2 linked regions of the Alligator mississippiensis genome follow. The protein of the gene in region 1 binds, or shares a complex with, the protein of each later gene. Links are inferred from orthologs where the notes say so. Each region holds a gene or a part of one and is shown in the gene's direction. Other genes may lie near its edges.

Region 1 (10,402 bases):
CAACAACATATTTCTGTCCTCTTGCTAAAAACCAACAATGTGCTGATAGCATCTATGCCAAAACCAGGCTCAGATTGCAAACACTTTTGCACAAATTAACCTAGTATGTCTTATGCAACAAGCGTCTGCCTGGGAAAAAAAAATCTGTGAAAAAAAAACTTGGCCTGTTTCATCTGGAAAACAAGTTACAAGAACTAACTAGTTAATCCTCACGTTACCCACAAGATGATAATACTGCGGAGATGTACCCATCTGCATTTTATAGATGGGGAAATAGACACCAGAAATATTCAGTGAAATTCTCACGGCAACGTTAAAAAAAATCAATTTCCGAGATGAAACAAAATCAGAACCCAGCTGTTCTTTAGCTTCCAGTCCTATGGCCAGAGAACAGCTCAAACTGGACAAATAAAGGAAGCAGCATTTTTAGCACGGATTTATTTTTTGAAGTCACTGGAAATGGCACACATTTAGCTCTCAGGCTTGCAGGGGCGTTAGGCATTTAATCTGCTCCCCAGAAATGCAACTCTTTCCATATAATAGGCCCAGAAAAGCTACTCTCATCTCCTGGTTATATAGCCTTAAAAAATAAGCTAGAATTTTAGCCATGAGAAAGGTTAGCTTGTGATCCTGTGCACAACTGGAAGAGAGGCTGAATCAGTAGATACAACACATGCAGGAAACACCCCCCCCCCCCGAACAAACTCTGATACCTGTACTTTGAGGCCAGCGCAGTTCTTTCTTCAACAATTATGCCATAATAATTATCAAAGGACATCACTTAGACACAGGTGCTCATCGTTGCTTAGGAGAGGATGCAAGTTCCTGGATTTCTGCTAAATAAGACAGAGAAGGAGTTCATCAGCATGTAAGGACCACCAAGCACCGAAATACCAGCGGTAGCAAACCCCAGGCAGCGTGGTTCCAGCCAAGCAATCGGTTGCCTTTCCTGGTGGAAGCAGCAAGCATTACTCATCATTTTCCCAACAGCTGGTGCTGCATCATCCCCCCACCCCCTGCTTCACAGGCTGAGCTTTCAAGCTGGCTGCTTCTGTGTTCTTGTTTCCCACTTACTGATCAGCAATATTTAATGAATGTGGTTCTTAATATACCTTTTAAGATAAAAGCCTATTATCTTGCCAAGGGACTCAGCTCAGAGCAAAGATCACAGTGCTAAGCGCCAAGATTGGAAAGATCAACAACACAATTAACTGCTGGAGGCACCAGGGTTTTGGGGGGGAATCCTACATGTGCTGGAAATGCTCGGGTCCCGGGGCTTTCTTCTGGCAGCTCTGGAATCTCAAGAATTGAGGAAACCGGGGCTGCATCATACCTGTGCCAAGGTAGCGACCGCGCAGGGCTCCCAGGCTGGTTTTCAGAGTGGGGGTAACTGCTTTGTCACCCCAAGACCCTTCGCACCCGATGACACGGACACACCCTTCCCACGGGACAGTGGAGAATGCAAAAGCAACCCCTTGTCATCAAACTCCCCCGATCTGCACCTCCAGCGGAGACGACATCCTGACCCCACCCTTGTGCCTCATCCCCAAGTAGTAGCAAGCCCCCAAACCTCTGCAACCCCGCCGTGATGCCTCTCCTGCCTCCCCCCTTCAGGGAACGCGGCGCCGTCACACAGGGGGCCCCGTGGGCTGCACACCCTGGAGACCCTACCCCCTGCAGCATGCGGACCCCCCCCAAACAACCAGAGCAAGCCTCTGGGCCCCCTACCCCAGCGAGGTCAGTCCTGTCTGGAGTCACGCAGCCGCTCCAGAGACCCCGGCCTCCCCATCCCAGGCAGGGGGCGTCTCCCCACCGCCTCTCCCCCTGCGCCAGGCAGGGACGTGGCTTTGACAAGTCACCGACACCCTGTGCTTAATTGCGGGGTGCCTGGAGGAGCACGGCGGGCACCGAGAGCAGCTCCCTCCCCAGCCCCTCTGAAGCCGACCCCCAGGCTTGGCTGCCTGGCTGCTCCCTGGAGCCACAGGGCGGCTGGCCCTGGAAGGAGGGATGCCCCCCACCAGCTCCCTGGGTGGCCGGCTACGAAAGGCCGGGGCTTCGGTCCCTTGGCTAGGCCCCAGCGTGCCTGCTCCGCCTGGGGAAGGGGATGGGGAGGCCAGCACCGCGGCCAGGGAAGGGGCTCAGCCCCAGAAGCAGCATGGAGGGGCAGGGAGGGAGGCCAGTTACCTGCTGCCGGAGGGAGGAGGGAAGCCAGCGCCTAGGAGCTGCAGCTTGGCGGCATGGGAGGAGCCAGGGGCTGGGCCAGGGAGGGGAGAGAAGGACGAGCCAGGCCTGGAGGGGGAAGGAGGCAGTGGGCATGCAGAGGCAAAGGATGGGGGCCCTCCACGCCCCTGGCAGCGAGCTGCACAGGCGGTCCCCTGGGGCAGCTCCCATGGTGCATGCTGGGCTGAAGGGAGCTGGCCAGCTCCCTGGCCACGAGGTTTCCATACCCCTGCGTGGACTGCCAGGAGACACGGAAAGGCGCAGCAGAGCGGCCCAGGCTGGGTGGGGCGGTCCAGACAGGAGCCCCAGACCAGCGCTGGCTGCAGAGAGGATGGTCACCGCACGCATCGGAGCTGGACCCCACATGGGGCATTCACACCTTGGTCCCCACCGCTCAGATGTCCCCCCCAAATGGAGCCCAGGAGCAGGCTGGGTAGGACAGGGCATGGCTACGCGCAGGGCAGCACTGCACGCAGCGAGGAGCTGGGCGCAGAGCGCCGCAGAGCCTGCTGGCATCGACCCGACAGCGGAGAGCGTTGGCAAGGCAAGCACCTGACATACTGGCTCTGGGCTGATTAAGAAAGGATGGGGACGGACCGTGAAGGGAGGTTAACACGGCTGTAGTAAGTCACGGGGAACACTACAGATGGAGTTGACAGCATATTGTTTTACCAGAAGAAACGATCCTCAAACTAGCGAACTCCAGTCTAGGGGATGAGGCGCAGACCACGCAGGAACCAAGGGCACGTTCAGCACCCACGTGACAGCTCAGTCTAGTTACTCCTTTACTGCAAAGCAAAGATGCTCAGGCCATCCTGTACGCCTGTGGTCTAGAGCTAGCACAGCGCATCCCAACTTCCTGACTGGTGCCTCCAGCTACCACTGTAATGCAAATAATAACAGGAGGAGAAATATAGCTCCTTGCTTCTTCCAAAGGCTGGAGAATATATGCCGCATACTAGTGCCCGGGTACAGAATGCAAGTGCAGCAGTTTTGCAGCCTGGCTCCAGCCTTTGACAGGGCTGCAGAGATTTCCACGGCTTGGCAGCCCTTTTAGCAACTATTCTTTGTCCTTACACAGACCTCAGCTTTACTCTTCCTCCCTCTGGGCTGTTGTCGCTGTTCTGTGCTAAAAGCTATGCTCTCTCCAAGGTGTAAAAGGGCAGGCACAGGGGGAAGGCTATTGATCTTTGTTATGCACTAGACCATCCCAAAAAACCCCAACCCAAATCTGTTTCCCAAGCTCTTGGTTGATAGTTGCTTAAAATGTTGATAACATAATAATTAATCATACCTAGTATTTCTCATCCGCAGAGCGAACCATAAAGGCCCGTGGGCACCCATCTGGAGACATCTCATGTTGCAATGTCATTGCACAGGCCCGGATCCTTCACGTGTTTTCAAGAATCTACTTACACGAACCAGGGCATAACGGCACCCATGCACCAAAGCTGTACTGGGGGAGTTTCTATACATCTATATTGGGATCTCAGCCAATTGGTAGCCAAGATGACTAATTAGCAAAGTCCCCCATCCAGTGGCTAAATCTGCATCCTGCAACATTTACTGGCCCTGCAAAATCACATCTGATGCCAGGAGGTTGTTATACAAGCCGGAAGGGAAAAGAATCTGTCCAGCAATGCAAGCCACTCGTCCTTTGCAGATTATACAGGAAGTTCTCAGTGAGGAATATTTGTAAACACCTGCTCCTTGCTTCTTGTTGAAGTGCTCATAAGAAGCCAGCAGCATAATGCACACTTTTCCCCCCATTAGCTGTAATGCAAGATTGCCGACACAAATAACTTGTGATGTACAAATAAACACCACCAACTTCACAGCCTCAGAGCACTTGGGGACAAATGCAGGTTCCATCAGAGTCAATAGCAGAGCTCTTTTTGGCCTCAGTCAAGTCAGAAGTTGCTCCTTATTGAATATAGGACATTTGGGCTGAGAAAATAAAATCTTGAAAATGGGGTGATTTGGTAACAACCTAATGCTCTGTGCTGCTACTGCATCCTTCCCATAAGGCTCACAATTTTTTTTTTACTGACAGTAACTCCTGCGTGCGATAGGAATTATCCCTGATCTACAGATGCCGAAACCGAGTCAGAGAGAGGCTAACAGACGCGGCATAATTGCTACACCGCATCCCTTGGAAAATATTCTTCCACCCGGCAAACAACCCAGGGTGTTGCACACAAACACACCAAACACGGCAGCAGCTTCTCTGCAGGGCATCCACGGTGGGTTTGAAGTCACGTGATAAATGGGGGTGCAGAATTTGGTTTGTCGGCATTAACAAAATGTGATTTGGAAACGCTTATTCATTTAAGAGATGAATTTGGTTTGTCGGCATTAAAATGCAATTTGGAAACGCTTATTAAGAGAATCCGCGAGTAATTTTAAAAGAAAAGCCGACTCGCAGAATCACGCGAGCAAACAAAAGATCTGTGCTCGCGGGTGCTGGATTGCTCCCTGCAGCATGTTTGCTATTGGGTCCAATCCAGTTTAAACGCCTGGAGCAACGGGGCTCCTAGGGCAAGGCAGCAGGTCCCCGAGCCTCTGCTTCAACTCTTCTAAATCCTTTCACTTTTTCGGACAATTGTATTGTTATGGTTTTTTTATTACGTTTCGTAAAGGGTAACTGATGTAGCGTTTCATTGCAGGCCGTCCTCGACTTAAGACGTGTCGAGCTCCAACGACCCGGCGGCATTTACAAGGTTTATAAATTGACGCCCGTTTCGACTTCCTGACCTGTTTCGACTCGATCCGACGCCACGCCACGAACACAGTGGCTGCGTCGCCCGTCTCCCTGCACAACGCCTGCCCCAACCGCCTCGGACACTTTCTTTAAGAAAGCGGCCGAGACTCCAGCCAACAACAAGCCCAACCCAGAGCCCTTCCAAACGTCCAAAGTCACCCCAAAGAAGTGCTTCCCAATCAATATGATTGCTATTTACAATATAAATGCACAAATGCCGCGTGCGCCGGAGGCTGGGGGACACGACGGGCACGTGCAAGGGTGCACTGCCACGCTCGGGGGGGCACGTGCCCCCCCGCCACGTCACCAATGAATGCAGCTGCATTACTCATCTAGCACCAATGCGGGGTGACTTGTGGCTACCTTTGGGAGCCACCCCCCGTGGACAGCATCTTTTCCTAGGGGACAATCGGTTGCGAGGGACCACACGTGGACCCCCAGCAAGGGGCAGCGTCCACACGGACTCGGCCCGGGCCAGGGGAGACGCTGCCGGAGCAGACTGCGCAGCCCTTGCAGACGCGCCGGACAGGAGCCGAGAAACAGCGAGTCAGACCTGGGCGGAGTGGCGCAGCGCGCCACGAAGGGCACGCCCGCGGCTTCGGCACGCACCGCGTAGTCATCGCGCCCACTGCGTCATCGCAGCGCGCCGGAAGCGCAGGGCACCCGGGGAGCCGAGCCGCAGGCCCGGGCCGCGATGCCGGCGGGGCGGGTGTTCCGGCGGCGCGCGGACTCCGAGGAGGACGAGGAGGACCAGCATGTCACCGAGGAGGTCCGGTGGGTGCGGGGCGAGAGGAGGAGGGGCCGTGTGAGCGGACTGTGGCACTGTCCTTGCGGGGGTGCGGGCGCCAGACCCGCGTTCAGCCGAGCTGGGGGTTTGCCGCCAGCGCCGGCCTAGAGCTGCTTGCCTCCGCGTCGGCCTCGCTCGCTGGGACTCGCAGTGACCCGGATAAGTGAACAGGACGATTGACTCGCGTGCTTTCCCGGCGTGTGCTCCCAATGTGATCGTTTCAGATTTGGCAACGCTGGAGCCGCCTGTGTACGTGCTGGCGCACACGCAGAGCCCCCCTGTGTGTGCGCCACGGCACGGGCGGCTGGTGCCACCGTAGTTGGGGGGGCACGTGCCCCCCCAGCGACTAGTTAGCGACTGGGGTCCCCCCTGCTGCCGATTCCCCGTGTCCGATCTCGCTGACCAAGGGCGGGGGTCCTCCGCAGCCAATCTCGCTGATTGCACCGACCGGGAGGTGGCCGCGGCACTTCATCCAGCGCTCCCGCTGCCCGCCCGGCGCTCGCACCTGCCTCCCCGCCTGTCACCGAAGCGGGGAGCGCGGCCTGTCAGGGGTGCACGTGCACCTCTGTGCACCCACTGTGCCACGGGCTGAGCTGTATCCCAACAGCGTGAGCTATTTTCCATTTTTCCTCTGGAAAAGAGTCAATGGTGCACAGCTGCAATTGTTTTACAGAGAAAAAGCTGAGGGTAGAAGCGATGAGGGGCCGCGCGGGGGTCAGGGAGAGTTCCGTGGAGTTACAGGAAATGATGTTTCTCCAAAAGGAACAAGGACTTTCAGTCTGTCCCTCCCTCCCGTATCCTGTAAAGCCCCCATCACAATCCTAGAAACTTTAGTATCAAAATAAATACAACTTGTAGTATGGCACACGACAGAGGAGTGTGAGGGCTACACAGGGCAATAACCCCCCCTTTTCCAATGCTTGACGTGAGAGTGGTCTGTGCGCTGGGGAGTGGGCGCAGAGGAGCCCCAACCAGCTCACAAAGGTAACGTTTTTCCTTCAGGCTGAAGCTCGAGGAAGCGAAGGAAGTGCAGAGCCTGAGGAGGCGGCCCAATGGGGTGAGGTGAGTGTCTCAGCAAACACACGCCAGCTCATGTTGGGTCAGAGACTTCCTTGTGGCTGTGAGTTGGCCTCCCTGTCGTCCGTACTCCCCGGCGCTGAAGGACGTCGCTGTGGCCCCAAGAACTGGGCCTGGGAGAGGAGAAGGCCTCTTGACGGTCCAAAGACCTGTAAAAGTTGGTACTGGGCACAGCTGCAGTCGTATGTAAACCATGTTCATGAATACTGGTTCCCTGTAGAGCTGCAGCCCAAAACCATGAAGAGTTTGGGCCTACTTTAAAACTGAAAGACCTTAAAGTTAGTTAACGATGGGTGCATCTACTTGAGATGCTTAATGCGCATTGGACTAATTCTACTGCGCATTATCGCATCATGGAAAAAGTGTGCTAATGCAGAGTAGATTTAGTTTAATGCACATTAACATCACAAAAAATGTTCATCTGGGCTAATGCACAGTAGAGCTGAAAATGGTGCATTAAGTTAGTACCTGTCATTAGAGGTACTAAACTTAATGCACCGTAATTATGGTGTGTTAATGAATGTGTGGATTTGCCCTCCCCCATGATTCTTCTGGTCAGATTTCTCTCTCAGAGTTGTGTCATATCACCATATGTTATGATGTGTGGATCAGTTTCTCATGTCTTAAACATCACTTTGTAACACGTGTAATAGATTATAAACAGGGAATTGGAAAACTAGTCTTTAAAATGAGTCTCACTTGCTATCATCCATGTGATCTAAGGAAGGAGGCTTGTTAGGTTATGCCAGGGTACTGAGAATCAAGGTTTGCTCTGTGTTGAATTCTGTTCCTCACGCTGACTCGCTTTGTGACCTTTTATGTCAGTTAATCATGCTTTGCCTCAGTTTTTCTGTGTGGAAAATGGGGCTCAGAGCTCCCTAAATTGGATGGATGATATATGTTTTAAATATTGAATATCAGCAAAACAGTTTGAGACCTTCAAGTAGATGTTGGAAAATACTAAAAAAAATTAATGTGGTATTTATAATGAATGATAATGCAAGAGCAGGGTTTTTTCACTCAGTGAATCTTAGTTTTCTTTTTTGTGTGCTTTGCTAGTGCTGTGGCCTTGCTTGTAGGGGAGAAAATGCAAGAAGAGACAACATTGGTGGTAAGTTGTGAATATTTCTGTTACCTTACTGCTGATAAATACCTGTGGGAAAGCATCTACTTTGTACAATAGATCGTTTGGAAAACTTAGTTTTGGGTAGCAACTGGCCATCATAAAAGGCTAGTAGGATATAGCAGCCTAATGGAGGGAATTTTAGGCATTTTTACCAGATGCTCAGAGAAGAGGGTTTTCCAGAAAGTAACTTTGGGGCTGGTATAGATTAAGGGACATATTTCATGCCTTTGAATTGTTTCTGCTTTTTGTAGGATGACCCTTTTAAGATAAAGACAGGTGGGATGGTGGACATGAAAAAGCTGAAAGAACGAGGGAAAGACAGGTGAGTGTCTGAGAAGTCTGAAATGACTCTTCCTTTAATGCTAGAGAGTTGGCAGCACGCAGGACTCTTTCAGTATTGAAGAAGGAAGGTGAAGTGCTTCAAGCATTGTGCTTTGAAGAATTTAAATGAAGTCGTTTGTCGGGTTGCTTATAGTCAGTGAATTATTTAGTAACGTAATATTCTTGTTAATATTTAGGATTAATGAAGAGGAAGATCTCAACCTGGGAACCTCTTTCTCAGCAGAAACCAACAGGAGGGACGAAGATGCTGACATGTAGGCATTTGCTGTGTTTATATGTAGTGATTCACCATGAGGAATGAAGTGCCTTAAGGCTATTTTTTTCCCAGGAACTAAGTGTTTGTAGAATATTTTCCCGATTTACCATGAAGTTTCTTCTTGGGTTTTTTCCCCACCCTGGGGAAACCAGCCTGAGGAGGAATTAACTTGTAATTAAAGTCAACACTTGCTGGCCAACCATGTGGTCCACTGGCAGTGTGTACATTATGTACTAGGAGGAACCATCCCTATCAATTGGGGGGAAACAGCCTTGACATTGTAGGAAGAAACTGATTATCTTTTGAACAAAGTAACTGTTCTGATTTCCAGTACCTCCTTCTGGCTGAGGAGGATTTATCTGCATCTTCTTCCCAGCCAGTGACATAGTGACACAGCTGTGGCCAGAGGTAATGGACAGGAGCATGAGTAATAAATGTAAGTTGCAGCTGTCTCTCTGATTGCTGTGGCACAGGATGAAGTACATTGAGACTGAGCTGAAGAAGCGGAAGGGAATTGTGGAAAGCGAGGAGCAGAAAGTGAAGCTGAAGAATGCCGAGGACTCCCTGTACGAGCTGCCTGAGAACATCCGCGTTTCCTCAGCCAAGAAGACTGAAGAGATGCTGTCCAATCAAATGCTGAGTGGCATTCCTGAAGTGGATCTGGGCATCGAGTATGTAGTTCATACTTCTATTACTGACAGCCTGAATTTCCCGGGTGATTGGTGCACATTGGTTGGTTAGGGCCCTGTGGGAGGATGCATGCAGAACGTCAGCGTGTGCTCTTTGGGCAAGGATATCCACTTCGTTCTTTTTTGTACCCTGCCTGGCACAGTGGAGTCCTGAGCTATGACTAGACCTCCTAGGCAGTACCATAACACAGCTACTGATGATCAGAGACTTTGGTTTCTGGGTACGTCATAGAGCACCTTCCCATAAGATTAATTTGTGCCCAGCACTATGACAGGTGGATAGAATGGTCCTCTTCTGAAAAAAATCAAGTCTCCACTGCTTTTTCTCTGCAGCGCAAAAATAAAAAACATCATCTCGACTGAGGAGGCCAAGGCGAGGCTGTTGGCAGAGCAGCAAAACAAGAAGAAAGACAGTGAAACCTCCTTTGTTCCTACAAATATGGCTGTGAACTATGTCCAGCACAACAGATGTGAGTGTTGTATCGCTCCGGCTTGATATTTCCCAACCATCAGTAAAAACGAGTAGAACCTATTACTCGTGGCTTAACTTTCTACACCCATGCTCCCAGTTGACTGGGCTCTATTTATTGCTTGCTAGATTTCCCCTGTTAAGTGACATATTGAATCTATGAAAAAAAATTCCTGATCTTACTGTGGCAGCAAAGGGTGGCTTATAGTCTATAGAGACCTGCTGTAGGTCACTAAGCTGACAGATTGGTGAGATGGAAGCCACCCAGGAGAAGAGAATTAATTTCTTAGTTGCTCTTATACCACGACCAACTGGTACTAAAAGAAATGTGAACTCCTGTTGTATTTAACCATATCCAGGCGGCTGATTTCTTTGGAGAAGAACCAGAAAAAATCTCAAGCTAGTAAAAGCTGCGGCATCTGGTCATGATGCGTTCAGCCAGCATCCACAGCAAGAAGTGATAGCACTGAACAGGATAACCATTCCTGCTTTCTGCTGTGTTTCTGCTGAAGGTTATTCATAAGAGAAAAGATGGGCATCTGTCTGAATAATACTACTCCATGTATACAGTAATTAATATTCTCCATTTGTTGTCTCCTTTCGTTTAGTTTATCATGAGGAGCTAAATGCACCTGTGAGAAGGAATAAAGAGGAACCAAAACCACGGCCACTGAG
Region 2 (10,321 bases), on another chromosome or scaffold:
GCTGCACCTTTCTCTGCTGCCTCAAAGGGTTCTGATATGACTAGCATCTCTTCTACCTATGAGATCTTCCAAAGTAGGACCTGGAGAGGTTGCTAGATTTCTACCAGGACCTCCCCAGGGCCTAGAGGTTGGTTTCTGTTACCAGGTCCCCAGAGATGGTCACCCAGGGTGCTAACCTCCTCACCAGGCCCCTGCAAAAAAACCACCCAGGTGGTGGTGTTGGTAAACATCACTCGTATTGGAGGGTTCCTGGACTATGCCAGAAAAAACCCACAGATTTTCCCTGAGAAAATGCAGATTTCTCATTTTAACAGAGAAATGCATAGATTTTCCACTGTTGCAAAGAGCTTTTTGCAGGTTGGCAGTTTCAGCATGCAAGAGGCTGGGGGGAGTGGGAGGAGGGTGGTCAGTGTAGTGAGCATGTTTGTTATTACCCTGAAATAGAATAGTTTTCTGATAGCAGCATACTGTTAGGTTAACAATAATTTGGATTATCAAGAAGTATTAGCTTTGCAGCTGAATACAAGGCATGACCTGTGGCCTAGCAATGCTGCTGACCACAAGGCAGAATAATAGCTAAGCCTTTGCTTGTGTCAAGTAATCATTTTAACGGTGTTAAGCATTTTCTGAGTAAAATGCAGCAAGTGGATCTGTGTCTGTGTGCTGGAAAATCAGCTACAGCAAGAAGCAAGATAAGACAAAGAAGCCATTGTTCTAAGTACAGTGATCGTGTCCTTAAGAAGTATCTACTACTGTGCAAGGTTTTGCTAACTTATCATAATGTTACTGTTACTTAACTTTTAGCTTTTAAAAAGTGCTAGTTCAGCTTAATAGAAATATGCTGTTACAAAGACTTATAAAGCACCGCCCAAGAATTGCTTTTGTTAACCCTGTAGTCTTGCCTTATTGTAAAAAAGTATAAAAGATCGCCTCACCCTTGAGGGGGGGCCATTTTGCCTTTTGCTGGCTTTGTGGTCTTTGCTGGAGCAAATAAATGACTGTCAGTTCTTTACCCGCATAGTCTGGTCTCTATTGCAGCTAGATAATGAACTTTAGGGAGTTTTCTCCCACCACATCAGGCAGGGGGCACCATGAGCATGTACATGCACATGGCCGCCAGGCAGCTTGGAGAGCAGCACCCTGCAGGTAGGTCTCATGGTGGGGTGGGGGGGAGGAGAATTGAGCAGGACTGGGGCTGGGGATGCTGCCCAACCAGGTGGGGCTTGGGGCCCAAGGCTACCATGCATAGTTGCAGGGCCCCAGCAAGGAGCAGGAGGCTCATCCAGGAGGCAGGGGGGTGGGGCTGGCTCCCTGCCACTGAGCACACTCTCAGGGAGATATGGGCATTAGGGATGTGCAAAGCTTTGGTTGCTGATTCAATTCAGAGATTTGGCCCAATTCAGCAGCCGAATCTCTGAATCCGAATCAAATCTAGAGACTTGTTAATCTCTCCAAATCGAATCAGAAGCCTCCAATTCAATTCAGAGAGATGTGGAGAAATTTGACGATTCGGCCCTAGACGCACGTTTTTTCTACATACCTCAAGGTACCAGGCGCAGTTCGTGAATGCTGAGATGGTGGGGCGGATGGAGCGTCCCATGGGAGCATGGGGGGGCGGGGGCGGTCTCCAATGTGCTCAGGGGCAGGCCCAGAAGTACTTCCAGTCCACTTCCTGGTCTGCTGCAGAGTTTATGGGGGAACCACCCCTCACCCCCCTGCTAGGCAACTGGTGCCTTCTGGGTCTGGGGGGGCACCTGGGGTCCCCCTGTGGCTAAGCCCAAGCCTACAGCTGTCCCCCACCCAAGGCTCCGTTCCGGCTGTGCCCCCTGGGCGAGAAGGGGAGCTGCACTCTGCTCCCTGCTTGGGCTGCAGCAGCCACCACCTCCCACAGGCATCAGCCAGGGCTTGGGCACTGCTGGGAGAGGCAGGGGACTGCAGATCCAGGTCCCTGACCCTATGGCCCTGGCAGTTGGAGGTCCCCTCTGGGAGGGTGGGGCAGGAGGGACTTGGACCCATGTTCTGGTGAGCAAACGGGGCAAGAGAAGCTCTGATTTTCTATGATAAAAAAACTCAAATCCAACTCCAAAATTTATAGGCATTTAGAATTTATTTTATTATAGTGATTGAGACACTGGTAGGCTTCCAAATTGCTTTAAAATTGTAAATATATCAATAAAACATTGTGTTCAACTGATACCTATATACATAGTGGAATTTCATTTTAATCACAGAATTTGTGATTTTTTTTTTATCAGAGAAAACCAGGATCCCTGGCCATGAAGTTGCTGCATCAGCAGGCCCCATGGCACTCCCTACCCCACTGTCTCAGCAAGCTGGGGGATTTCAAGCCAGTCTGCCTCTGAATGGCCCGCTGCCGCCAGCTGTGTACTCATGCTCTGCACAGTCCATCATCTCGTCCTTGTGTTCTGCCCCAACAACAAGTGGTGGGACATCCTAGGCAAGGCCAGGGAGGAGAGTCCCTGGTAGACAAGTCTCTATTCCATCTTGATCCCATGAGCCAAGAGGCCTCAGCTAGTGGCTTCTTCATGGAGCCGTCACCACAGGCATGTATCTGGTGTGCTTTACAGGCACTCCTAACACCTACCCCTTTTGCCGACAGAGGACCCTGATGCACGTCTACCTCAAGTGCATCAGGTTGCAGGCCCCCTTCTGTCTCCTCCAAAACCTCCTGCTGTAGTTCTGGCTGCACTTCTCCCTGTACCTTTTTTGTTGTGCACTTCCCATCCATGGCTCCACCAAGCCCCAAGATGTCCTGGTCAACCTCCTCCTGGCTCTAGCCAAACTGGCCATCTATAAAACCAAGAAAGAGGCACTGGCCAGGGGAACCCAGGCAAGTGTGGGGCTGTCTTCCTGTCACTCTTCTGGGCACAGTTTCACTGGTCAATGTCTCCAGGCTCCCTTGACTCATTCAGGGGGCAGTGGCTGCTGGCCTGTGTACTTTGCTCAGTGTCCCCTTCCAGATCCCTTATTATTAATCTACTAGCTAATTGCCTGTCAAGAGTGACGGATGAATTTCTAACAAAAAGAAACATTTTACTTTTTATGTTTATTAAATAAATTAAATATTTATAAAATTTAAATAAAGTAGGCTGAACATTTGAAGATACCAATCCCTTCCTGCACTTACTTTCATCCAGCGTGCTGGAGGTGCACCTGCCCATGCTGCCACCTGGCTGCCGTCTGTGCACCTCTTTGCTGGGCAAGGGCAAGAGCAAGGGCAAGGGCAGGCGAGCTTCACGCCTCGCAACAGCTGCCCATGCCCCAGGACTTCCTCTGCGCCACCCGCAGGAGCCTCCTTCCCAGCTCAGGGCTTGGGACAAGGCTGCCACTGCTCGCCCACTGCCTCGCACCCCTGCCCAGCTCCCGCTTTTCCTGAGCAGAGAGTGGATGCTGAATGGGAAAGTGAACTGGGTAGGATCAAAGTTTTTTCCCACCGTTCCTTTAAGCGAATCTCTAATCCAGGAGTGGCCATTCCCTGTAATCCTGACTTCATTAAGAGCTTCTGATGGGTCCAGGTCTCCCTGAATCCTAACCCTAGCCTCCAGAGTAGCAGGAGCACTTGAGGGTAGAGCTAGGATTCAGAAAGACCTAGACAAATTGGAGGACTGAACCAAAAGCAATCTCATGAGTTTCACTAAGGACAAGTGTGAAGTCTTGCACTTAAGACAGAACAATGCCTTGCACTGGTATGGGCTGGCCAAGCAGCAGCTCAGCAGGAAAGGACCTAGGGGTTGCAGTGGACAATAAGCTGAATATGAGCTCTTGTTGTGAAATGCTTGTTGCAAAGAACAACAACAGTATATTAGGCTGCATTGGTAGGAGCATTGCCAGATCCAGGGAAATGATTATTCCCCTCTATTCAGCATTAGTTTAGGCCACATCTGGAGTAGTATGTCCAGTTTTGTCCCCCAACCTCCCAACAGAAAGCATTTAGGACAAATCTGAAAGCCTAGCAAAGGGCAACAAAGATGGCTATAGGGCTGGTGACCACAACTTGAGAGGCTGAGAGAACTGGGCTTATTTAGTGTGGAGAAAATAAGATGCAAGGATTTAATAGCAGCCTTCAGCTACCTGCAGGGCGGGTCCAAAGAGGATGGAGCTGGACTGTTCTCAGTGGTGGCAGATGACAGAACAAGGAGCAATGGGCTCAAGTTGCAGCAAGGGAAGTTTAGGTTAGATATTAGGGAAAACTTTCTCACTGGCACAGTAGTAAAGCACAAAAACAGGTTACCCACAGAGGCTGTGAAATCTCCATCCTTGCAGGTTTTTAAAACCCAGCAATTCAAAGCCAGTGGCTGGGATGATCTAGCTGGGGCTGGTCCTGCTCCAAGCAGGGGTTGGACGAGATGTGGCCTCCTGAGTGTGTGGGCTGGGGGCGAGCTGGGCCCGTCTTTGCGCACGCGGGCTGTGGCCAGCAGCCTGGGCACACGGGGCCGGAGGAGACCGGAGGCGAGCTAGAATTAGTCACGGACGCGTAGTGGTTGATTTAAAGATTATTTACTTACACCCAAGATGGTTGCGGTGTAGGCTGGACAGTTTCCAGGTGCAGCTCCGCTTAAATCCTTGTTGGAGGACTACGACAAATTCATTCTAGCCCCGGAGTTGTTAAAGCTCCGCGGGTTCGGTAATTTCTCTCCCACGGAGTTGTCGAAGCTCCGTGGGTTCGGTTCGGTTCTCTTGCCCCGGAGTTGTTGAAGTTCCGCGGGTTCGTATCTTTAATATGCAGGAAGGGATACGTCTAAGAATTTATCGGCGACGGGGAGAGGATAGAGGCTGTTCAGGCCTCTGTTGCTCTCCATTGCACCGGGGTTCTCTTCTGCAGCAGAAAACTCCACCGTGCAAGGAAGCTGCAATTTAGCGGGAAAAATAATTTAGCAGTGCCGAAGCACACACAAACAAAAAATCACAACTTTGGGTTGTGACACTGAGGTCCCTCGCAACTGTCATTTTCTGAGATTCAATGACCTTGTCAAAGGCTTTTCACAAGTCCAGAGTTAGTCAGCTTGAACGCTGCAACCCACCCGCTTACGGCACCCCCAAAGACCGTGGCACAGGGGCAGGTGGAGGTGCAGACCTGGCAGCGAAGGCATTTTGCTTGGCTTTTGGGGGCACAGTGGGGAAGCGGCCAGGGCTGCGCTGCCACAACAGAGGCCGGGCCCCTCGCGGCTCCCCTGCCCGCAACGTCTCACGGGCCCAGCCTGCAGGTTGTTTTCGGCACTGCTGTAGCAGGCAGGGGAGGCGCGTCCCGTTCACCCACGTGCTGAGCGGCTCGGCCTTCTCGTACTGCTCCTACCACTTCCCGCCCCCCCTCCGCGCCGGCCTCCGAACGCGCAGCCTCTTCGAATCCCCCGCGCGCCACTGGTGTGACGCGCCGTGACGTAACGTGGCAGACTTCCCCCGCCCCTTCGCGCGGCGCCCGCGCATGCGCACTACCCCCTCCACCCAGCCGTGCTCTCGCTCTGACGTGTCGCACGATGCATCCTGGGATGGCGCCCGGCGGCGGCGGTCCGCCTGTTTCCCATCCTGCCCTGGCGCGCTGAATGGGGCAGACGCAAGATGGCTGCGAACGCGAACTCGGGTGGCGGCGGCGGCGGGTCGCTGTTCGAGTGCCCGAGCTGGTGAGCGCCGCGCCGCGCCGCGCCGCGCCGGGCGGAGCCGGGGGCGGTTTCGTGCGGGGCGGGCGGGCCGGGCCGGGCCGGCGGTGCGGGGCCTGCGCCCGCTCCCAGCTCCCTCGGCTGCAGCTGCAGGCCGGGAGGAAGGTGGACTCCGCCTCCCCGGGCCCGGCGCAGCGAGGAGCAGCCCAGTTTGAGATGACCAGAAGCGCTGCTGTCCAGTACGGCGGCCACCAGGGAGCGGGCCGGGGCCGAGGCTGCTCCTTGAGGAGGGCTCGGTGCCTGCAGCTGTGGTGGTTTTCCTCCACGGGACCCTGCCTCATTCAGCGGCCGGTTGATGGTAGTTTCTGAACCACTGTTTACTTGACCGTTCCCCCCCGCGCCCCTCATTGTATGTGCTTTATAATCCTGCACCCCCTTTACACCCTGCGCCAGATAAAAACTTCGGTAATTTACTCCTGGGGTTTTCTCTGATCTTCGTCCTCATTGTTTTTGAAGGTCTGGAGCACATTTGTAGGTGCCCCTCAGCGTTTTATTGGTGATTCTCCACCTGTGAAACAGTTAGGTAGCACAAAGAGATTGAGGCTAAATTATGAATTGCTGGCTCCTTTGGGTGCTCATTTGGAGGTATTTCAAATTTTTTTTCTTGAGCGCAAACATTTTGAGTATATTTTTGTGAGTACAGACCTGGTGATCTTGCAAGGCCCCTTCCAGCCGTAATGTCTATGACATTTTTGTAGCAGTTAACAGTCAGAAGGAAAAGCCTCTGTGCAATTGAGACCGGTGTGATCAAGTCTGCAAACAAGAGGTTGGACGTCCAGTTCCACGTGCAGCCTCCTTTCTGGCAGTCACTAAGCTCTGTACTTGCCTCTGCAGTTTGAATGTTCTTTATTTCTTTTTTTAAGTAAAAAGAAAATCTCTTAGATGATACTGACTCCCACATGAATCATCAGCAGGGCTGGGAGCTTGACGCTACAGACTTCTACAACATGGTGAAGTAGCTGGTAGCTGTAGCAACCTGTTACCTTCCGGATGCTAAATGGAGCTCTCATATTTTGTCAGTGAGATTCACAGCTATTTTCCAGGCAGAAAAATACTGAAGCTCCAGATCCTTGGTTCATTTCAATGTTCTGGAGAGGGTTATGCATTTTTTTCTATGAATGTCCTTGCTCTGCTCACCTTTGCTTATGCTCTCTTTCTAGCCTATACCCAACCCAGGAGCATAACTAGGGGTGGGCAAGTGGGACCCAAACCCTGGGCCCTGACAGAGAGGTCATGTCAGAATGTAACAGGAGCAGGAGCAACAATGGACACCTCCCTCACTGCTTTCTGGTAGGGTTTTGTTCGGGGTGGAAAACTTTCATGCTGCAGACAGGGACATGCAGGCTGCAGATCACGGCTCTGCCCCGGGTCCTTGCAGCAGTGGCAGTGTGGTCTGGAGCAGGGGCAGAGCCATGATCTGCTGCCTGCACACCACTGTCCGGACTGTGCGTGCTGCAGATTGCAGCTCTGCCCTGGCCCCTGACCAAGCTGCTTCTGCCGCAAGATCCCACTGGCTCTGGAGCAACCCCTGCCCTGCTGCGCTCCCTGCCAGCATGGCTGGGGCTGGTCTTCATGGCAACCCCTGCCTTGTACTATCATGGCTGGGGTCTCCATGGAGCATGGTTTCCCAGCCATGCAGGCAGGAGCTGCTGGGAAATGGAGTCCAGTTGTTAGCCAGCTCCATCATTTTGCCCACCCCACCCCACTAGCTATGCCTAGACCATCTCCAACCAGTGGTTATCCAACCTCTTCTTGAACACCTCCAATGATAGAGAGTCCACAGCTTCCCTCGGCAGTCTATTCCAGTGTTTCCGAACCTTTTCTAGCCCAAGGCACACTTACATTAATAAACGTTTTCTGCAGCACACCTGTTAAGGCGTTCTCCATCCTCATACCTATTGTAGCTCATTACCATGGCAAAATTCCACGGCATACCTGTTCATTTCTGACTACACACTTTTCATAGATTTCATAGACATTCGGGCTGGAAGGGACCCCGGAGGATCATCGAGTCTAGCCCCCTGCCAGGGGCAGGAAGTCAGCAGGGATCATAGGATCCCAGCAAGGTAAACATCCAAATGTGTCTTGAAGGTGTTCATAGTGGATGCTTGAACCACCCCCGGCGGCAGTCGATTCCAAACCTTGGGGGCTCAGACAGTAAAGAAGTTCTTCCTTATGTCCAGCCTGACTCGGTCGCAGAGGAGTTTGTGACCATTCGATCTTGTCATCTTTTGGGGTGCTCTGGTGAACAGACATTCCCCCAGAACCTGGTGGACACCCCTGATAAACTTATAGGTGGCCGTCAGATCACCCCTGAGCCTGCACTTTTCCAGGCTGAAGAGTCCCATGGCTCTCAGCCTCTCATCATAAGGTCTGTTTTCCTGACCTCTGATCATGCGCGTGGCTCTCCTCTGCACTCTCTCAAGGTTCTCCACATCCTTTTTGAATTGTGGAGCCCAAAACTGGATGCAGTACTCCAGCTGTGGCCTCACCAAGGCCAAGTACAATAGGAGAATGATATCCTGGGATTTGCTTGAGAAGCATCTATGGATGCAAGCAGCATTTTGCTTGCTTTACTAGCTGCAGCACACTGGTTGGGAAACCGTGGTCTATTCCACTGCCCCAGTATTCTAACAGTGAAGAAGTTTTTTCTAGCTATCCAATCTAAACTAATTTTGCTGCAACTGCAGGCCGTTGGTATACCTCATGCTGCAGCAAGAGAGAAAAAGTGTTCTCCCTCCTCTTAATTGCAGCCCTTCAAGTATTTGAAGACCACTATCATGTCCCATCCTTTTTTGCAAGTTGGACATGCTTAAATCCTTCAGCCTCTCATCATATGATTTGCTTTCCAAGCCCTTTATCATCTTTCTTACCTGCCTGTGGACCCTTTCCAACTTCTCCATGTCCTGTTAAAATGTGGAGCCCAGAACTGCAAACAGTACTCTAGGTGAGTCCTAACCAATGCAGAGTAGAGAGTCACCATCACCTCCCCCATCTTGCACCTAATTCTTCTGTGGATACATCCCAAAACCACATTTGCTTTTTGTGCAGCTGTGTCTGTAATCTACCAAGACTCCCAGATCCTTTTCCATAGTGTTGCCATTCAGCCAGGTGTCACCTATTTTGTATTTGTGTTTTTGATTATTCTTCCTGAGGTCTAGTACCTTGCACTTGTCAGCATTGAACTTTATTCTGTTAGCTTCAGCCCAGCTTTTCAATTTCTTGAGATCCTTCTGAATTGCCCTCACAACCTTCCATGTTCACAGTCCTTCTCAGTTTCATGTAGTTCACAAATCTCAAAAAGCTTTATATGCAAGTATCCAGATAATTAATAAATACATTGAACAGCATCTGGCCCAGACTAGACTCCCTGTGAGATTCCACTCAAAGCCTCCTGCTATTCTGACATGGACCTGTTAATTTTGTGGCCTTTGAACCAGTTTTCTGTCCACCTTATAGCAGTTTTGTCTAGTAGCCCACATTTCTTCAATTTGTTTACAAGAAGCTTGTGGGGGGACCTTGTCAAGAGCCTTCTGAAGTCCGGATATACTATATCCAGAGTATTCCGTTCATCCACCCAAGTAGTTACTTTTCCAAAGGAGTTTAAGTTTTTTATAAATCCATGTTGGCTACTTGCAATCAGCCTTTCCTCCTCCAGATGCTTTCCAGTGAACTTCCTTAGGATATGCTCCAATAATTTCCCAGCTATTAAGGTGAGGCTAATCTCAGGTCCTCCCTTTTTTGTTGTTTCTTTTTCCTTATTTTTTTTTTCTTAAGAGGGGCACTACATTGGTCCTTTTTCAGTGCTCTGGTACCTCACCCATCTTCCACAACTTCATGAAGATCATTGCATTGCCAAGGACTGTGAGAGTGCCTCTGCCAGTTCCTTCAGTACCCTGGGATGAAGTTCATCTGGCCCTGCTGACTTCAATTCATTCAGACCCATCAAAAGCTCTCTGACAGTCTCTTATATTATCTCCTCCCTCAACTGGCCCCCTTCTTTATCCAGATAATCCTTATTAGGTGCCTTGCTGTAGCTTAATTTTTTTGTGAAGACTGAGGCAAAATAGCTGTTATGTAGCTCTGCCTTCTTTGTATCTTCTGTTAAGAGTTCCCCTGGGTAGTTAACAGTGGATCCATAGTGTCCTATGTGCCCCTAACTTTGATATGGAGCATACTTGGTTTGACTAGCATCTAGGAGTGGTATGGGAAGGAAGTATACTTGACACAGGCGGAAACTTCATAGAATAATACTGTATGCTTTTGCAAATTTCTACTAATTGTGAATGAACTGAAGTTTTTCAGACTTATAATTTATCCAGACTTGGCAGATTTTCACTGCAAAAGCAGAAAGGTGGACCCCTGATACAGTAGCAGCATTTTTGCCAATCTGCAGAGCATGCAAGTAAAAACTTCTCAAATCATTGCAGTATTTTTAAAGGAACAATATAACATTGTTCCCTAGTATTTCTTGGTAATAACTAAGCTGTTTTCACTTAATGTTCTAAAATTTCAGCTTCCAGCAAACACCCTGCATAGAATAGTTTAGCTCAAAAGTTTACATTTTGGCACAGTTATAAGAAGCTAAGAATGAGTTTTTATAATAGAAAGTGTTAGGCAGTTGTGGCTATTGATGTCTAAATGTA

The links. The genes of interacting proteins can lie anywhere in the genome.
Region 2: C12H9orf78 (region 1) and PPP1R8 share a complex: the UniProt entries of both Homo sapiens proteins name them as parts of the spliceosome. The link is inferred for Alligator mississippiensis from reciprocal best matches to the Homo sapiens genes C9orf78 and PPP1R8.

The regions. Positions count from the first base shown.
Region 1 is NC_081835.1:58,724,075-58,734,476, reverse strand, and holds the start of C12H9orf78 (splicing factor C9orf78 homolog), read left to right. Parts: upstream 1-5,614; 5' UTR 5,615-5,675; coding exon 5,676-5,755; intron 5,756-6,770; coding exon 6,771-6,830; intron 6,831-7,904; coding exon 7,905-7,956; intron 7,957-8,222; coding exon 8,223-8,293; intron 8,294-8,489; coding exon 8,490-8,567; intron 8,568-9,042; coding exon 9,043-9,240; intron 9,241-9,591; coding exon 9,592-9,728; intron 9,729-10,335; coding exon 10,336-10,402. UniProt on the Homo sapiens protein: Plays a role in pre-mRNA splicing by promoting usage of the upstream 3'-splice site at alternative NAGNAG splice sites; these are sites featuring alternative acceptor motifs separated by only a few nucleotides. May also modulate exon inclusion events.
Region 2 is NC_081829.1:16,743,154-16,753,474, forward strand, and holds the start of PPP1R8 (nuclear inhibitor of protein phosphatase 1), read left to right. Parts: upstream 1-5,470; 5' UTR 5,471-5,577; coding exon 5,578-5,639; intron 5,640-10,321. UniProt on the Homo sapiens protein: Inhibitor subunit of the major nuclear protein phosphatase-1 (PP-1). It has RNA-binding activity but does not cleave RNA and may target PP-1 to RNA-associated substrates. May also be involved in pre-mRNA splicing.